Linked DNA regions of Caenorhabditis elegans. The protein of the gene in region 2 purifies or fractionates together with the protein of the main gene of each other region. This does not show direct contact. Each region holds a gene or a part of one and is shown on either strand. Other genes may lie near its edges. The genes, in order: nhr-69 and daf-8.

Region 1 (4,752 bases), 1.3 Mb from region 2:
ATTTTGGAAGATAAAAGTTACGGTGACGACTATGATAGATCTGCTTCTGCTGGTGGTTTATCTATTGAACCAAGTAAGTTTTCAAGAACGTAGTGAATTACCTGACCAAGCGTACTAAGAATCATGCATTTTCTTCCACCGAACAATTTGGAATTACGCATTCTCGGTCTTTTTTTGTGATGGCTAGACCTAGATGTTCAGACTGATTATCATAAAGGTGCTCATCTAGTTAATGCAAATTTGTTCTGCCGTTTAAAAAAGTATGATCCGGTTAAAAAAGAGTCTCGCAAAATTTGAGTCAGTTTCAAAGAGAAACTATTTCCGAGAGGTGTTAGTATCATTCATAGCTTATGAAAAATAAATACATTTTAGACTTGTTCTCATTTGCCTGAATACTATGCACCCTTTTCAGGTCTGCGACGGAAAACATCAGTTTTGGTTCCTCTCATGAGTCGAGAAGATTTACATTTGGATCAATCTCCAACTACACCAGCTCCTCAATTCCTTCGACCTCCAAGCAGCCGAATGGCTTCAGCTGCGAATGTATAATAATTTCAATATTTTGTTGTTTTCCTGATACCGAATTAATTGTTGTTACAATTTCAAATATTTGCATGACATGAAATAATAATTATTAAAATAATAATAAAACCAACATAGAAAAAGGAAACAATGAGGTGGTTTGAGCAGGTAAGTAATGTGTCCGTTGGGACCCGATTTCTAGAAGTCAAAGTTTGGAAGTATTTAGATGGTTTGAGCAGGAAGGGAGGCAAGATGAGATTATGGTCTCTTGAATATAAAATATTGGAAAATTGGAAACTATTCTTCCAATTCAACTTCTGCTTTAACGGACGAGTTCACCGGTGATGCCAGACTCGTTTGTAATATCTGAAAACAAAAATTGTGAGATTGAAATTGTCTCTGGAACTTATTAGGGTCTTCCACAAAACCACCATAAGCTTAACAGTCACAAAGCACAAAAGAAATCCGCATATTTATTGACCTATTCTCCTTAGATAGACTAAACAAAATTTGTTGTGCATATTCCACATTTGGAAGAGTTTGAAATAAAATTCCCCGGGCTCAGGATTTAGGTTTTGAAAGTTGCCAATAACTAAGATATTCCTTTCATTGTTCTGCTTTTCAAAATAAAAATTACCTGTGGATCTGAAGGTTTCATATCATTTAGAATAAGTTCTTCCATTAACGAATCGACATTCACGAGACCGAACAAACGAGCAAGTTGGACATCTTCTACCTTTAAATTCATAAATTACTAATTTGAATAACAATTGTAACTAACCAATTGTTGAGCAATAGCCTGAAGTGATGGAAGTAATAACAAAAGCTTTCCACTTCTGCAATCCATTGATTCGTCTTCCATATTTTCAAGTGCCTTGTCAGTACACCTGAAATATATTACATTTGTTATAGAAGCTAGTATTGTCAAATAAACCTTCTCTGCAATGACCTCAAAAAAGCATATCGGGCGTTCTCCACCGGACTCTGATCGTTGATTTCTCTGACGACTGGATTGAAAAACAGAATAGCTTTCAGTGCAACATATTCAATTAAATCCATATTTAACCTCCTCATTGGATTCACAATTTCATCAATAATTCGTCCGACGACACAACTGAAATGACTGTACAAAACCTGAGAATACAGATATGAAATGAGAATATACTCACTTGATATCTCCCACTTGTGTTGCATGTTCTTTTGGAAGAAGTGTGTCATTTGCAAGGCAAATTGTATTTTCAACTGTCAGACAAATCGATCGATATGCTACTCCAAGTACAATTATTGACGCGGCACCGCCTTTGAGAAGAGCTGCCTGGAATTATGAAATTGTTGCTAGAAGTCGTCATTTTTTAAAAAAGAAAGTATGAAACAAGTAATTGCAGTATTTTCAGTATTAAACTCGCTACTATGACAGCTAAATAATATCTCTGTTGTTTTTGATTTTATCAAAAAAAAAATCATCTAACAAATATTTTTCTGAAATTTTTCATAGAAAAAAAATCATACCTGATCTGCTTGAGCCAAAAACGAGAATTGAGGTAATGACTTCGCCCATTCGATAAAAAGAACCAATTGTTGATGAATCGATTTTCCAATATCATCCAATGTGGCAGCTCTCGCATCTTCATAATTCCATTTAACTTTTCCACAGTCGTATGGTGCCTGTAAAACACGTGGATTCAATGTGATTATTGACTGAGATCAAGAGGTGAAACTAGAAAACAGATTTTTCTGGGGGCGGAAAAAGAACCACCAGGTACAAATTCCGGCATAATTAAACCGTGTTTCTTAAGTAAAGAAAATCAAGAACTTTCCAAATTGAAAGAAATCCCTCTTGACGAAATTTGAAGCACTGCGTTTAATCCCAATCAAACTTACAAGTGAAGATGTATTCTTGATTACACTGGACCTTAATTGCTGACATAATGTTTCTGCGGCAACAAGTTGATCTATCAAATCTTCTTTTTCAGCTCCCGTAGTCTTTTTCCGTTTTCCAATTGCATCCCGTTCATTTTGAATTGCTGAAATAGTACAGGCTATTTTTATAAAAAAGTATTGGAATGATCTCACCATTACTCTTCATTCCCGCTTTTACACATTTTTGAAGTCTACATGCTCGACATGCGTTCCGTTTATCTGAAATAAGAGGAAATATTACATATTTATTACATTGGAGGACCGACTTGCTTTTGGAAATTTCAGAAACCAACGGCCCAAAAACTTTAAAAACTATAAACATACTTTTGGTAACATCACAATTTTGTTCAAATCTGCATTGATAATGATATCGTTTGCGAATACTTCGTCGAAAGAATCCTTTACATCCATCACAACTGATTGCCCCGTAGTGTTTACCAGTTGATTTGTCGTTGCAAATATGACATATTTCTTCGACCATACTTTTTGTCTAAATATTTATGTAATTGTGCTCTATTAGATAATATGAATCAATAATAAAAAGTAGGAAGAAGCGGAATAGAATATTTGATGAGCAAGTTTAAATTCAAATTAGATGTCCAAAAACTAGATCTTACATAGATCTAAGCCTAGATAGGCCTACCTACGTGCCTACAAGGCAGCTTTGAAGACCACCTACTCATGAAAAGACATAATTTAATTTACAGAAATGCAGGAATAGGAAACCTAAAGCAAACCAGTGTGGCATGTTCTCTCGATATTTTTTATTTAAATTTGGTGACAGAATATATCGCATTTTTTGTTTTATTGGAAAATAACCTTTATTCGTCCGAAAAACTGTTCGAAAGTTGCAATTTGCCTAATTTTTTACCTCCATTTTCAAATTTCAGATACTATGAGAACTCCCTGGCTCATGTAGAATTACTGGTGGGCATATTCCGCGCGCCATTGGCCTGTAGGCACGTATGTCGGTATATATGTATATGCCAGGGTGGAAAACATAGAGATTTTTCAAATCTGAACATTTAATAAAGTATCTCAATTTCTAGTTGAAACTTTTCTAGAACAAAATTCTAGTTTAGTCTATCCTTCTTTGTACCCGACTTCATAAAAACTGATCTTCCTGATTTCAAATTGTCAATGATCCTTAAAACGTGTGTGAAGAACAAAAAAAGAGAGTATGAAGAAGCAGGAAAATGATTGGAAAAAGAAGAAAAAGAATACATTGTATTGGAGAGCGTATGATGGGTGTTTGATAAGAATGGCGGGAAGAAGGGGGCAAAGAAGTGACAAACATGTGAAAGAAACGACGAAAAGACAATTATAAAATGAGAGAGTGGGTAGAGAAAATGAGAAATTTATAGAAGGACTGATAAGGGTCTTGCAGAGATCGGGAATACAATATTGAAAGACGACTGTAATTTCTGGAATTTCAGTTTAAGAAAACGCAGCTCATTCGAAGTTCGAACGGGAGGGGTTGAGAATGATTTGGTTCATTTACAGGTTTTACAAATCCCGGGCTTCCGAACTCATGTCTAGAAATGGAAGAGCTGGTCGCGATGGATTTACGCAGTCTCTCGAGGAGAATAGGATTTTTCAATTTTCAGCTGAATTTTTCGAGCATTTTTGCTAAATTTTTTGAATTTAACATTAAAACTCGCCTGGTTGACTTATTTAGATAGATTCGGTTAAAATCAACGTAGTTAATGTCAAAAACTATCAAAAAAATGAATCTTTATAGTTTTTGTTTTTTGATGTTTGTTTTTTGATTTTGACAAACTGATTTTTACTTGAAATAATATGAATATGAAGAGTTATGGAAAACAACAGATATCTCAAAAATGTGATTTATTGTAATTTTAATAGCTTCTCACATTTTCCGTTCTTTCCGATGGTCACCTTGTACCGTACTTTACAAGCGAATGTATTGGACACTACTGCTACAGTAACCCTTTTTTGACTCCCATTCTGAAAAACCCGGCTTATGAACTGTCGGGTATTATTGCGCCGAAAATACGGTAGCCGGTCTCGGCACGACAAACTTTTGTTAAATTCTTATTTTTATAAATTTCCCATGAGATTGTGTTTTTCACTCGTGTATTTTCTCAGTTTCTCTGTTAATTTTTATCATTTTTTTTGTCGTGTCAAGACCCGGCACCGTATCTTTCGCTCAAAAATCGCAAACATTGTTTGAAAATCGCACGAAACACCGCGCTTCCCGTCAGAATGCAGAAAATAGGCGGCAGGTATGCAAGGCACGATCGCCTGTCCTGACGACATGCCTGCCTACCACTGAAGCCAAAAATGAAA
Region 2 (5,497 bases):
TTTTTTTGTCTAAAATCAGTTTGAAGTACTCAATTTCAGAAAATTCTTCCAAATAACGTGGCAAATTTGGCAATTGCCGCCTACGTTTGATTTAGATCTACAATTCTTAGAACCTCCTCCTTTCAACCGATCCTTTCACAAGTAAAGTGCTCCACTCTCGCAAGAAAAGGTTTTGATTTCACGCTCCAATATCAAAACGAAACTTTTTTTAAATACTAAATTACTTATTGAAAACAGATCACTGTAAAACTCTAAGCCACTTTCTGGATAAATAAAATTTCGATCTGAAACATTTTAAGCGTAACTGTGCACTACTTTCGACGGACGTAAAACTGCTCGGATAACTATTTTGATGATTTCCAAGGATTTTAGGGGGTTTATATTTAAGTGAATATCCTGGCAGCTTTTTGAAAGTGTTTTTTTTTTTGATAATATTAAATTTAATCCATCAAGCTCGATCGGAAAAAATCAGACCAAAATTACATTTCCAAGGATTCTAGAATATTTGGCTACTGTAAACACTTTTAAAGTTGACATAAGTCGTTTAAAAGCTGCAAAAAGAAATCTCGAGCAGTTCTAAAGCCCTCAAAAACAATGTAAAAATACACAGAAAAAGTTTAAAATCTAAATTTTTAAATAAAAAATTTTAAAACTCGTTTTGATGTTTTAGAGTAAAATAAAAACCTTTCTCTATCAACAAAATTGATCACACGCAAATTGGAGATTAGGATTTTGGCAAAGAAAGAAGCTAAGTTCTGGATGAACATATACGTGGTGGAGCTCCCATACAAGTGAGTACACTATCGACCCAATGCATCGGATTATTCAAATGAGCCTGAAACCAAACAGGCGATCGGAGGACGGTTGAACGACGATAGTGTTCTCCCCAACCTTTGCAGAACGAAACACGAACTGTGCACATTCGTGAGAGACAGTAGACGTCTGAAATGTTGGAAGAAAAAAAATGTAGCTGACTAGAAGGTTTGAGAATTCGTATTCTCCGAAAGTTGCATCGGTAAAAACTATACACCAAAAAATGTCAAAAACTTTTTATAAATTATTTTTAGTTGACAATTTTGATATATCGCACAATAGCCGTACTTTGGACGAAAAGTAATATGATATAATAGAAATTACTAATTCACTCTCACCTTGATATGTCTTCTCAGCTGCTGTTCTCAGCTGTTTGGAGAATAATCTCATGTCAAAAACTTTCATAGTTCCAGTTGGAGGCAACTTTGATACAGTATTCAATTGGAAACCATTCTTCATATTTGCACCGATTGACTGTACAAAAACAGGAATATTGCACAAATTCTCTACATAGACTTCACCAGCTAACAAGTAAAATCGAACACCCTTTCCAATGAGACCACGAACTTCGGCCGTTTGTGGAGAGCGGTTTGGATTGTTGTACCAACCAAGCGAGAAACGGCTGTAATGATGTTATTTTGATATTTACTTGAATTTATGTTTTAGTTCAGTGTACACTAGTGAATGTAGTTAAAATTCAGATGCGTGTAAGTTCTAGACCAGGGCTTCTGTCAATGATACAAACCTTCTGGTTTCTGAGTCAGTGCGACTAGCTGTAAATCCATCGATCAGGCAGTGATGCCCTTCTACATCGGCTTTCTCTCCAATCATCGTTCCTTCTTCATAATAAATTAATTTCAGCCAACTCGGCGACTCTTCATATTCTACACATTCATATATTCCAGCCTGTCGTGACAGATCTCCAAGTTCTAATGCCGAAGATCGATAGAGTGGTCGAGGTTCAATTGGTGTGATAGGCCGTCCATCTGCATACGTTGGCTTTCGGTTTCCATTGTTCTCTGATGAAAAATTCTCGGAATGCATGATGTCACTAACTTCGGAATCATCCATCATTTCTTGATCCAGACTTATTGTATCATTTCCGTTTGGAATAAACTCTCGAGGAGAAGCTGCATGACTGTAAATTTAAAGTTTTATAGATCTAAACTAATATTTCAATTTTTTCCAATATTCAACAGTTTCGTCGGCCCGACCGCCAAATTTAATTTTTTTTTCAACCTTTAGGTCGAATTTCGAATTCTACTTTCAGTTTAGCCAGTTCTTTAGATTGTTGAATCAGTATTGTAAAAACAAAAAAATTCCAAAAAAGTGAAATTCGTACCTAGCTGGAGATGAGAGTCCAGATCTATAATATCCGGGTTCCTCGTCGTCTTGTCGATTACTTTGTTGCAGTAACGATGCGAAAGATGATCCTAATGACATCGTGGTAGAGCTACACGGACTTCCATCAAAAGAGCCAAAATTTCCGTAATTCATATATTGAAAATCTCCGTTTTCAGCTGCATATCGATCATAGAGAAGCTGAAATTTTTATTTTTGAATGTGAGGGGGTGACAGTGGATGTTTTGTAGAAATACGTGCAAATATTTCAGTCAACGTTTTTGGTAAGTTTGCAAATTTCCAAAATTTCTAAAGAAAAAAAAAGATTAATTGCAACTTATTTACTGGATTTTGCATTTTGGAAAGAGTTCAAAAAGGGATATCATCTCTCAACAAACCTTAATTTCATCTCCTCTCATCGTCACATTTGGCACATCCCAACTTGCAACCACCTGTTCCTCTTTCAAATCCTTTTGATTCCAATCATCCAGTGCATCCTCAGTCCGAATCGGAGGTTCACCGTAATCCAATTCCTTATTTACAATAATTGGTGGAACTTGGCACGTCGGTAGTTCAACCCATCGATAATGATACGGATTCAGACAAACATTCCGACTATGGGAATTGAATGCATGTCGACACGTTAATATTGATTTCACTTGAGATTCATATCGAATAACCGGAAATCTGAATGCTCTCAAGACACACATGATAGCTCGTCCAAAGTTTCCAATGAGTTTCTCATTGTGTGCAGGACAGCATCGTGTTTTTGGATCACCTTTAATAACGGCATCGTAGAAAGCTTCAAAGCACTGGTGTTTTTTAGCTACTCTAGAGAGTAATCGGGTAACTTTGAGAGCCCAGTAGATTGTTCCCTAAAAAATAGTTGAGGATAGCTTGACACTTCAAATAGGGCAATTTTAAGGATTTGAATTTCTTAGGAAAAGTTTACTATAACAAAATTTAAAAAACAAGATATGGGCTTTTCTCTTTTCCTGTAATTTTCTCTTTATTTTTTTTTTGGATCTTTTCGAGTCTCCAACATACATTAAAACCTTTTGTCGTAAATATCCTTTCAGTTTCTTTAAGTATTACTATTTTTGAAAAAAAATTGTTTCCTGTTTTAAAAGAAAAGGCTAATTTGAGAGACACATTCTAAAATTAGAAAACGTATAAGTTAATGTTTATGTAGGTTGATTCTAAATATTTTAAAATAAAAATTCGCTAATATGTCTGGACATTTGATGTTTGATCAAGATACGGTATCTCTCAACTCTGCTCTTTTTTAAAGTTTCTTGTTCACTTACTTGCTCGCCGGCTGGCCTAGAATATGAAATTTAAAATTTGCAGATGGCTTTTTAATTTTTAAAAGTAGCCAGCGAGACTATTTGTGTTGAAAATTCAAAAAAAAAGTTTCAAATCTTCAAAAACATACATCTCCTTCAGTGATAATAGTTTCTTCTAACACTTTTTGAGCCATTGCCTCAAGTCTGGGATCAGTAGGTTCTGGTGAAGGAAAATCGTCCATTTTCGTAGTTTTAAAACTGAAATTTCGAAGAATTAAAAAAAATATGGGAGGAGATGTTAGGCTAGAATAAAATCCAAAAAAATGGGCCGAGCTTAAAAAGCAACGACCACAAAAAAGGACTGATTTGGGATAAAGAATAATAAATAGTACAGATGATTTTATATATGAAATTAATATTTTTCGTTGTGCATTGCCGAAATTCAAAAAAAATTTGAATCAGAAAACAGAATTATATCCAAAATGATAATAGAACCTTCTGGTAAGTCATAAGAGTCAGGTGAGCTACTCAAATGGGCGGAGTTTCAATATCTACATAGAAAGGCGAAATGAAAGAATTATGAAATTCAAGAACTCGGAATGAAAACTGGTATGAACGTGTAAAAAATGATAAGAAACAACAGTTTGTGATAAGATTTTTGTGTTGATCAGAATCGTCATCACCTATAAAATCAAGGAAAAATAGAGAGAGAAATGAAGAAAAATGAGAGGAAGTTTTCATTTGATTTATTCAACTTTTAAATGGATTCGAAGTTTTTTCGATATCAGGAACGCGGTTCCAAAATGATCGAAAATCTAGATATTTACCTGAATCTTGATTTTGTTTTATACAGAATTTTTCTGAACTCAATGAAGCCGATGACTCCTAATTAATTTATTCAAGTTTCGTTCATTTAGATATGACAAGGCATCACGAAGATCTCAAGACTCACCCGGCTTCTGATACGTGACCTAGAAATAGTTATAACTCGGCCAGCAATTTATCAAAAGCAAAAAAGTTGGGAGGAAAGTATAATTTCATCTTTTGAAATCGTTTCTCTTAAATTTTAGCAAATGTCCATTTTTAGAATTTCTTTGACTATTTTGAGTTTTTATTTTAAAAAAAAGTCCATTAATAGAAACTAACATAAGTACTACTAAGAAGGCGTCATATTGTTATTTTTGTTTCAGATGGATGTACGTCACTACTTTTTATTGAGGTGCTCTCATGAGGAACCAGAATAAATAAACTATTTTATAACACACTGTACCATTTCCAATTGTTTAAGAAATTAAAAAAATAGAATAGAACTCACAGAAAATCAGTTTTTTTCTGAATCTGGCGGCGAAAAAAGCCAAGATATGGACGGAACCTAATTTTGGGGTGTTCTCTAAGCAAATTTTGAACATTGATTTCGAATACTGAATGTTAGAAGAACGCCAAATTGACGGCGAATAGATTAGGAAAAAAAGGTTTTCAAAACAGTAATAATGTATTTATAAATTCTATAGAAGTATGACATTCTGAGAATATTATAGAAAAAGAGATTTCGTATTATTATTATTATCAAATCATTCTGTGAATCTTCGTATCATATGACTTACTATTAAACAACCAAAATGAGCTGAACCTAAAGCCTTGAAGACCACGAAGTGACCACAGATTAAATACTGGAGGAAGAAACAAAACAAGTAAATAATCATAACAATTTATCTATAAAATCCTTTCAAAAGTTGAAGTAAACAACATCCTTTGAGATATCATGATTAAAAAGAATGAATAATGTTTCTAAATTTGTATAATCCTCTTCCTCTTTTATATTATTTTTATGATTTCTTCTGACTTTGAAGAGAAACAAAATCGGATTCAGATAAATTTCGAAAATTCTTGATTAACTCGGATTAAATGTCTCCTGACAATTGCACAACGAGCAAAACAGATGAAGGGTAGAAGAAGAAAGAGAATTCGTAAGTAAAGAGAATCGAGAAGAGAATAGAAACTGACATAAAAAGTTAGAAGGTTTTATGATTAACATATATCGCATGTTTCTTCGTGTA

The links.
Region 1: the proteins of daf-8 (region 2) and nhr-69 purify together in Caenorhabditis elegans (affinity purification with western blotting, with the first as the bait; one study listed by BioGRID). This does not show direct contact.

Annotation. Positions count from the first base shown.
Region 1 is NC_003279.8:9,878,571-9,883,322, forward strand, and holds nhr-69 (Nuclear hormone receptor family member nhr-69), read right to left. Parts: upstream 2,935-4,752; 5' UTR 2,924-2,934; coding exon 2,767-2,923; intron 2,662-2,766; coding exon 2,596-2,661; intron 2,547-2,595; coding exon 2,404-2,546; intron 2,188-2,403; coding exon 2,032-2,187; intron 1,838-2,031; coding exon 1,692-1,837; intron 1,637-1,691; coding exon 1,457-1,636; intron 1,410-1,456; coding exon 1,304-1,409; intron 1,259-1,303; coding exon 1,160-1,258; intron 889-1,159; coding exon 820-888; 3' UTR 613-819; downstream 1-612. Other genes in the region: inx-20 (Innexin), read left to right, coding at 1-73, 413-549. UniProt on the Caenorhabditis elegans protein: Orphan nuclear receptor which, in cooperation with R-SMAD daf-8, modulates the Insulin/IGF-1-like signaling (IIS) pathway, perhaps by regulating expression of the potassium channel exp-2, which in turn modulates the secretion of insulin-like peptide daf-28.
Region 2 is NC_003279.8:8,583,808-8,589,304, forward strand, and holds daf-8 (Smad protein daf-8), read right to left. Parts: upstream 3,701-5,497; 5' UTR 3,683-3,700; coding exon 3,590-3,682; intron 3,030-3,589; coding exon 2,553-3,029; intron 2,356-2,552; coding exon 2,156-2,355; intron 1,952-2,155; coding exon 1,559-1,951; intron 1,436-1,558; coding exon 1,152-1,435; intron 943-1,151; coding exon 749-942; 3' UTR 617-748; downstream 1-616. UniProt on the Caenorhabditis elegans protein: Probably a receptor-regulated SMAD (R-SMAD) that is an intracellular signal transducer and transcriptional modulator activated by TGF-beta-like daf-7 signaling.